Oryctolagus cuniculus: one gene and its partner. The protein of the gene in region 2 interacts with the protein of the main gene of each other region in a biochemical or structural test. Links are inferred from orthologs where the notes say so. Each region holds a gene or a part of one and is shown on either strand. Other genes may lie near its edges. The genes, in order: SOX10 and PAX3.

Evidence for each region.
Region 1: the proteins of PAX3 (region 2) and SOX10 form a complex in vitro, tested with the Homo sapiens proteins (2 studies listed by BioGRID and IntAct). The link is inferred for Oryctolagus cuniculus from reciprocal best matches to the Homo sapiens genes PAX3 and SOX10.

Annotation. Positions count from the first base shown.
Region 1 is NC_091442.1:114,780,688-114,784,977, forward strand, and holds the start of SOX10 (transcription factor SOX-10), read right to left. Parts: upstream 2,944-4,290; 5' UTR 2,721-2,943; intron 2,280-2,720; 5' UTR 2,202-2,279; coding exon 1,774-2,201; intron 1-1,773. UniProt on the Homo sapiens protein: Transcription factor that plays a central role in developing and mature glia.
Region 2 is NC_091434.1:17,160,116-17,163,484, reverse strand, and holds the end of PAX3 (paired box protein Pax-3), read right to left. Parts: intron 1,808-3,369; coding exon 1,561-1,807; intron 1,068-1,560; coding exon 1,037-1,067; coding exon of another isoform or gene 1,033-1,036; exon of another isoform or gene 882-1,032; coding exon 815-881; 3' UTR 795-814; downstream 1-794. UniProt on the Homo sapiens protein: Transcription factor that may regulate cell proliferation, migration and apoptosis. Involved in neural development and myogenesis. Transcriptional activator of MITF, acting synergistically with SOX10.

The DNA of each region.
Region 1 (4,290 bases), on a different chromosome or scaffold from region 2:
CTCCTGTCACTGGGGTTGGGTCCTGCTCTCCTGCCAGCCCTGCCCAGGTAGGCCCCTGTGCTCACAGCTCAAGAGCTGGCCAGGAGCAAGTCCCTCTGAAGGGACCTCCAGCCCAGCCAGGGGCAATGGAGGGGCAACCTGAGACCCTGGCCATGGGAGGTGGTGGGAGAGCCGGGCTCACGCGTGGGTCTGCCCAAGGTCCCCGGCGCTGTTCCGTCTGCCTCCCTTTGGCTGTGTCTCTCACTGCCTCTTTGTTCCACAGCGGCCAAGGCGCCGCGCACCCAGCCTGGGCCAAGCCCCACCCAGGTCTGGAGGGGCCTTGGACAGAGGGGAGCTAGCAGCGACCTCTGCTCCTGGCAGAGCTGGACACACAGCAGCTGGTCACCAAGCCCGGGTCTGCCCAGGATGAGCAGGGGCTGGTGGGGGAGGGGAAGGGGCACCAGGCGAGCACATGGCAAGGACGGGCCAGGGGACTGGGCGCAGGGACCCTCTTGCTCCTCCCAGCATCCAAGCCTCGGGCCCTCTAGCCCTCACCTCCACCCTGCTGGCTTAGTGGAGAGGGACAGGCAGCAGGCTCCGCTGACAGAGCCCAGTCTCTGAAACCCCCCATCCCGCTCCTTGTGACCACCATGCCGGGCACAATGTGGGGGAAGACCTCTGGCCCGGCTGTGCCACCAGCTGGTGTGTGACCTTTGCAGTGGCCCTGCCTCTCTGGGCCTGTGTCCTGGGCAGTGTGATGGAGATCAGGTGGCCACCACAGGCCGGCATCTCCTGAGCCTCTGTTCCCTCTTGGAGCTGGATGAGGGCTCTCAGGGTGGGGCTGAGGGGTCCCCTGCTTCACACGTCCCTAAGGGGCCAGGCTTTCCCCCTACGCGGTTTTCCCCAGAGGTGTGGGCTTGTCCCTGGGGCTCTGAGGGACCCTGGGCAGAACGGAGACCAGGGTGTCCTCCTGGCCAGAGTGCTCGGCTCCAACTCTGGGGCTGTGGGGAAGAGGTTGCTCAACTCTGGGTGGGGCCCTGGGAGGAAAGATGGCGCCCAACCAGGAGAGCAAGGAAGGGAGAGAGGCCAGCTTGGTGGCTCTGGAACAGGGTGGGAGAGAGCAAGGTGTCCTGGGTGCCCCTCCTCCCAGAGAAGCAGCCCCCCCCCCCGCCCAAGGGAGGGCGGGGCCAGGACCCAGTGGAGACAGGTGGGCCAGGGTGAGAACCCCCTGGCAGCTCTCCACCCCTACCCCCACTCCCTGCCCCTCATCCGAACGCCGTGGTCTCAGACCTCCCCTGACTTCTCAGCTGGCTGCCTCAGTTTCCCCGAATCTGCAGCTACGCCCCCGGTGCTTGCCCAAGCCTTTCCCCTCACATCCTCCCGAGCGATGAGATGGTGGCAGTTTGGCCCCCTTGGGTGTGCACCTACATGGGAAGGGAGTTAGTGAGGGGCTGTGGTGGGCTCCCGGAGGAGCAGCCCCGGAGGCCCTAGGTGCCACCGAAAGAATTCCAACCGCGAGGGGGCGCTTTCCTGGCCGCCACCCGGGGTGGGAAGAGACCCGGCCTAGGCGGCTGCAGTTCAGAGTTCGAGTCGCTAGCGGGCAGAACCCAAAGGCGCGCCTGTGGAGGCCAGGCAGGCACGGTCCCTGCACCTGGTCCTCCAGGCGCATCCCAGGAGGGGGCTGCCCCTGGGGAAAGGGCCCCCGGCAGACCCCGCCCCGGGGGGCAGGAGACGGGGCGCTCCCGCCTGGCGCGAACGCGTCGCAGCTGGCTGGTCGGGCCGGGGAGCGCTCACCTCCAAAGCTTGCCCAGCGTCTTGCTGAGCTCGGCATTGTGCAGGTGCGGGTACTGGTCGGCCAGCTTCCGGCGCGCCGCCTGCGCCCACACCATGAAGGCGTTCATGGGCCGCTTGACGTGTGGCTTGCTCTTGCTGGCGCCGTTGACGCGCACCGGCATGGGCACCAGTGTCCAGTCGTAGCCGCTGAGCACCTGGCTGACGGCCTCGCGGATGCACACGGGGAACTTGTCGTCGTCCGCCTCGCCGGCCTGCTGCTCCTTCTTCACCTTGCCCAGCTCGCCGGGCCCGGGGCTGGCTCGCAGGCTGGAGCCGCCGCCGCCGCCGTCGGGCCCCAGCGAAGGCGCGCTTCCTGGGGACAGGCAGCGGGGCTCTTCGGAGCCCACCGGGCTCAGCTCCACCTCCGACAGGTCCTGCTCCTCCGCCATGTCGCCCCCGGCCGCCGCCGCCTCGGCCGCCTCCCCCGGGCCCGCCGCGGGGGTCCTCGCAAAGAGCCCAACGCCCACCTGGTCGGAAAGGAGGGCGCAATGGAGCGGCGGCGCGCGCAGCCCCGAGGGCGGCCGGGCCGGGACGCGGGCGCAGCCCCGAGGTGTCGGGCCTCCCTGCGTGCGCTAAGCCCGCGCCGGCCGCTGGGGCCCCTCGCACATGCCAGACCCCAGGTGGGCGCGTCCCGCCTCCGCGCCTTCCCACCACCTGGCCCCAACCGTCTGTTGGTGTGGGTGGGTTTTTCTTTTGAAACCTCCTTTTGGGTGGAGGTTTGTTGATGGAAAGGAAGAAAAACGGACCCTTTATTCGGCTCTAATCCCGGCCCCTGGAATTTCCCACTTTTCTCTCACCTTGCCTTCTACCAGACCCGGATCCAGAGGGGCAGGTGTGGGGCGCGCGGGGCGTCCGCCTCTCCCTTCCGCCCGGCAGGGGCCCAGGCCTGGCCGGCCAGGCGCACTCACCTCCTCGGACCTCTCCTCCAGCCTGGGGCTCGTCCTCAGGAAGTGGAAAACCGAGTCCCAAGGTGTGCGGTCCAGCTCGGGGCTGGGGGGGGTGGCGCTGGTGGACCGGGAGGGAGGGGCTGAGGGGCCCCGAGCCTCAGGCCACGGCCTCTTAGGACGGAGCCTGAATCCACAGCACCAGCCACCCTGGCCGGACAGCCTGAGACTGACTGAGCGACTGAGCCGCGGGCTGCAGAGGCTGGGGAAGGAAGGGGGGGAGTGGGGGAGGGGGAGGGGAGGGAGGGAAGGGCAGAAGGTGGAGCCTCCAGCGCTTTCCTTCGTCCCCAACACTCAGGGGCCCCCCCACCCTGCCCGGGCACTGCTGCCCAGACCCAGCTCGCCTAGGCTTAGCTCGGACTTAGTCTGGGAAGCTCAGGGGCAGGGAGCGGGGGTGCAGACTGGCAGGGCGGGAACCTGTTGCTGGGTGGGGGGGTGGGGTTGGGCCCAGCTGGTGCCCTCACCCTCTGCCTCAGGTGGCAAGATCACAGTTGGCAAAGGACGGATGGGAGACATAGGGAGGCAGGTGGGGGGGGGGGGGTCCTGTCCGGCCGCCTGCGTAACAGGCCTTGCGGCCCAGCCCGTGTCACTGGGCCTCCCACTCCCCCAGTTCGCTCTCTCTGCCCCAAACTGCGGTAATGGGACAGAGATGCCAGGTCCCTACCAGGCGAGTGGGGGCAGCTGGACGCTCCCTGCCCAGTGCCGGCGCCCCAACTCCACCCAGGCACAGGAGGGGCCCCTGGCATGGGGTCGTCATCGAGCCCCACTTCCTGGGAGCAGTTCCTTCCCCTTGGGAGGGGGAGTCACCACGTGCTCCTGTGCCCCCCTGTGGTCCTTCCTGTGGGACCGTCACCCACGGCTCCTCTCCCCTCCCCTCTCAGGTAGGCAGGCAGGGGCAGGCGGAGCCTGGGTCCCACTGACCACCCCAAAGAGCTCCTGGCTGCAGCCGGGCTGGGAAGGGGGTCTGGGGCAGCCAAGGGGGTGGGGGGCGGAGTGGGACACAATGAGGTAGTCACACGAGGCAGAGGCATGTTGGGGGTGGGGGCGGCGGACACTGGAACACACACACACACATGCTTGCGCACACACAACCCGACAGACAATCGGGCCAGTGTGTCCGGGGCCTCGGAGCCCAGTGAATTAGGAGTTTGATAAGGGTTTTCTCTTTCTCTCGCTCGCTGGCCTTGGACAATCTCCCCCCAGTTTTCCTCGACGCCACCCCCGGTGCTGCCAACCCTCCTCCCCCCGCCTCCCTCTCTTCCCTGTGCCCAGACTCTTGTTCGGGCCTTGAAACAGTGAGCCGTCTTTGTTCGAAGCACAGGTGAACGGCAACGGCAATCATGTGATGGACACACACACACATAAAAAGCTTTTTAACAGCGCCCGCCCGGCCTCAGAAGCGCCCGGAGAGGAGCCGCCCTGGATGGACAGAGGGACGGAGGGACGAGCATCCGGCCGGCCGGGCCGCTGTCCCGGCTGCCCGCAGCAGTCTCCGACTCCGCTGCTGCCCGCCCGTTGTCCGCCTGCCCGGCAT
Region 2 (3,369 bases):
CTTGCCCTGTCTTTCATAGGAAAGAGAAGAATGTAAACGTAATCATTTAAAAAGTATTCTTCTCTGACGGTCTCTAGCCAAAAGGAGCATGCCAAGTGTTTGTTGTCCAGCAAATGGCAAACATCACTGCATTCTACTGTAATGAGTTATGGGCTGTAAAAACAAAAGCACCTGCAAAAAATATAGTTCTGATTTAGTTTATATCACCTTGGCCATGCCAAAGCATCTGTGAGGTACACAGTATTGCACACTGATAAGCAGATATGTGAATTCATGTCACTTCTTCTCCACCAGGCCCTCACTGCCACCCAGATTGGCTTCCAAGTGAATGTGGTTGGGGAAAATGCCACACACCTCTCCCAACAATGGAAAAGAAGACAAACTTTCCTTCCTGGGATCCCATATCTTCTCTGGGACGTTTATTGACAACTAGATTACAAATGAGCATATAATAACAAATAATTTATTTAGGAGGTCCTTTATATCTAATCTAGCTTCCTAAAAATGGTGCCATTTATTTTTATATCAATTTCCAGTGTGTACAAGTTAAGGAGTCCTCCATTCTTGCTTCATTAGGGAGCAGTTTTGAAGTTGTAGAAGCATCAGGCTTGGACATCAAACATGTGAGAGGGTGTTGTCCTTCTACAGTTTAAAAGTCAAGGTAAATCTCAGACACACACACACACACACACGCACGCACGCACATACATGTGTGGGTGCATGCAAATGGAATGTTTAGCTCCTTGATCATCAGCACTAAAGAGTTGGGATATTTTGACACATAGCCATTGCAATAAAATGTTGCATTTGTCTTTTATTGCTCCACCTCTTCCTCTTCTCCATTGCTTTTGTCCAACACGTTTGAGAGAACTCGAAACCAACTACTGGAGAAAGAAAATCGGTCACTCTTCTTTGTCTCCTGTTGGGACTGCCCTCTCCCCAAAGGGTTGATTTTTTTTTTCTGAGATTCTTCATGTCTAAGCTGTGGAGACCAGAAACAGGGCCAGTTTTCGCTCCAAGTGGACAGTTCACTTATGCAATATCTGGCTTGAGATAATGAAAGGCACCTGTAAGGAAACACATGCAGCTTTTTAGGTCAAGCTGGGACAATTCACAGTAAGGGGCAATATCAGCTACAGGCTGACAATGTCATATTTAATACCATAGTATCAAAGGATTGAGACTAATATTTTTATTCCCGAGACAAGTTTGACACAAGTCTGTGTCCCTGGGATTACACTCCATATGATCCTTGAGCTGACCTCATTAAGAACATGTGTTTCCAATGCCAGGGGTTATTGCATTTTGGCCAGCCCCTGTGTTTTACCTCGTGGCAATCAGGTTTCACGTCTCAGCAATTAATAACCGCAAGATGTTGTTGACATCAGCTAAGAAAATAATTATACAAGGGAGGCCTTGCTGGAACAGTCGGCTGGCTTTGCCACAGGAACGATCTTGGGAGGTAAGGCTTAATCATGCCTACAGTTCCCCTTGCTGAAGCATGAGTTGAATTTATTTTCCCTCCAGGAGAAGTCACCCCCTAGAAAGTGCAAGGCTTACTTTGTCCATACTGCCCGTATTGGTAGCCTGTGACGGGGTCCATACTGTAGCCCGTGGTGCTATAGGTGGGTGGACAATAAGACTGAGATGTTGGCAGACTGTCCAAGCTCTTCATGTGGTCTAGTCTCTGACTGCAGCTGGCTGACACCGTGGTGGTAGGTTCCAGGCCCCCAGTGAGAGGGGAGAGGGCGTAATCCGTCTGAGGTTGATGAGGTACCCCACCGTGGTTGGTCAGAAGTCCCATTACCTAAAACAAACAGGCCAATGAGGAAGAAGTTAAAATTCAGGGAGGAACACAGAGTAGCCCGTAGTTGAATGAATAACTGCACAGTCCATTTACTGTTTCTCTGGAAATCCGTTAAGAGTTTTCGGAAAGACTGTGACCTCGATGCAAAGCGGCAGAGCTATTACATCATGCCCAGAGATAACATCTGACTGCAGTTTCAGAGAAAGGAAAAGGGGAGGGAGAAGCGAGGGAAAGGAGAGGAAGGAAGGAGAGGGGAAGAGAGAGAGAGAGATTACACCATGTCTCCAGTGATAAAATCAGACTGGAATTTCAAAGAAGCAGAAAGAAGGGATGGAGAGGGAGAGAAATTTTATCTCCACATATAGAAAAAAAAATGTTTAATCGTGTCTTCCATCTGGGAGTTTTGCATGTGATTTTAAACAGGCATTTGCTTACATATTTAAAAAGTTAAATAGATACAAAAGCAAGCTCTTTTTCCGTGGATCCTGAGACCCCTGTGTCTTTTTTCATGGTGTCCTGTCTCCTTATCTTGACCATCCTTCAGTAATTAGAAAGAGTTAGTCCCACGCGCTTTTCTCGCCCTTCTCACTGTGGAATCGTTATTTCTGTCTCCTCTTTTGACTTGCGTGAACTTGGAGAGGAGTAACTTCGTATCCCAGTACCTAACACAGTAGTTGGCACAGATTTCATGCCAAATGAATGAAAGCTAAACAATCTCCAAGTGACTGCCATTATTATTTATTCTTTCTTTTCTTCTCTAAAACAACAGTTTGTATAGAGAAGTGTTAAACAGAAAGACAAGCCTGAAATGCAAACATGTTCTCAAAAGTTCAGTTTCATAAATAACTCTGGAGAGTAAAACAACTTAAAAAAAAAAAAAAAAAAGAGTGTTAACAGAACAACTTTCCGATCAGCGTGGTGAATGTTTTGCAAACTCAAGCTCACTGACCCGTCCAACACCCAGTGATGGAAGTAAGTGGGTGATTGATGTAGCAGCTGGAAAACTGCCACATAAGAGAGAAAGTGATTTTTCTCTACTTTGTACATGTCCATGGCAGGGCTCAAAAACCTTTGCGGGAAAAACTCACTGCTGGGTGAAGTCTCCACAAAGCACTCCTACTTACAAAGTATTTAAATTCTCTGTTTAAATATTTAAATATTTACTCAGTAAGTATCCTACTTTAGAAGTATTTAAATGCACAATGTTTCCAGAACAGTCCTGATTTATTTGAGGAAGTTTAAAGCCAATGGAGCAAGAAGAGAGGGCAGAAGTAAAAATCAAGCCCTGACTATGGGCCTTGGTGCTAATGGCAAAGCAGGTCTCACTCAAGGGTAATCTCAGACCAGAGAATCCTGGATGTAAGGATTCCAGCAAGGTGGGAGCATTGTGGGTGGGCACAAGGAACTGGCCTGTATCCTCATATTCCAAAACCAAGGAATCTTGAACTAACGCTTTCAACTGATGCATCATCAGTTAGCTGAGAGACAGAGGGCAAGACAGTTCATCATTTTTTCCTCAGTATTCCTCTCATTATCTCCCTTTACTTGGAGCAGCTGTGTGT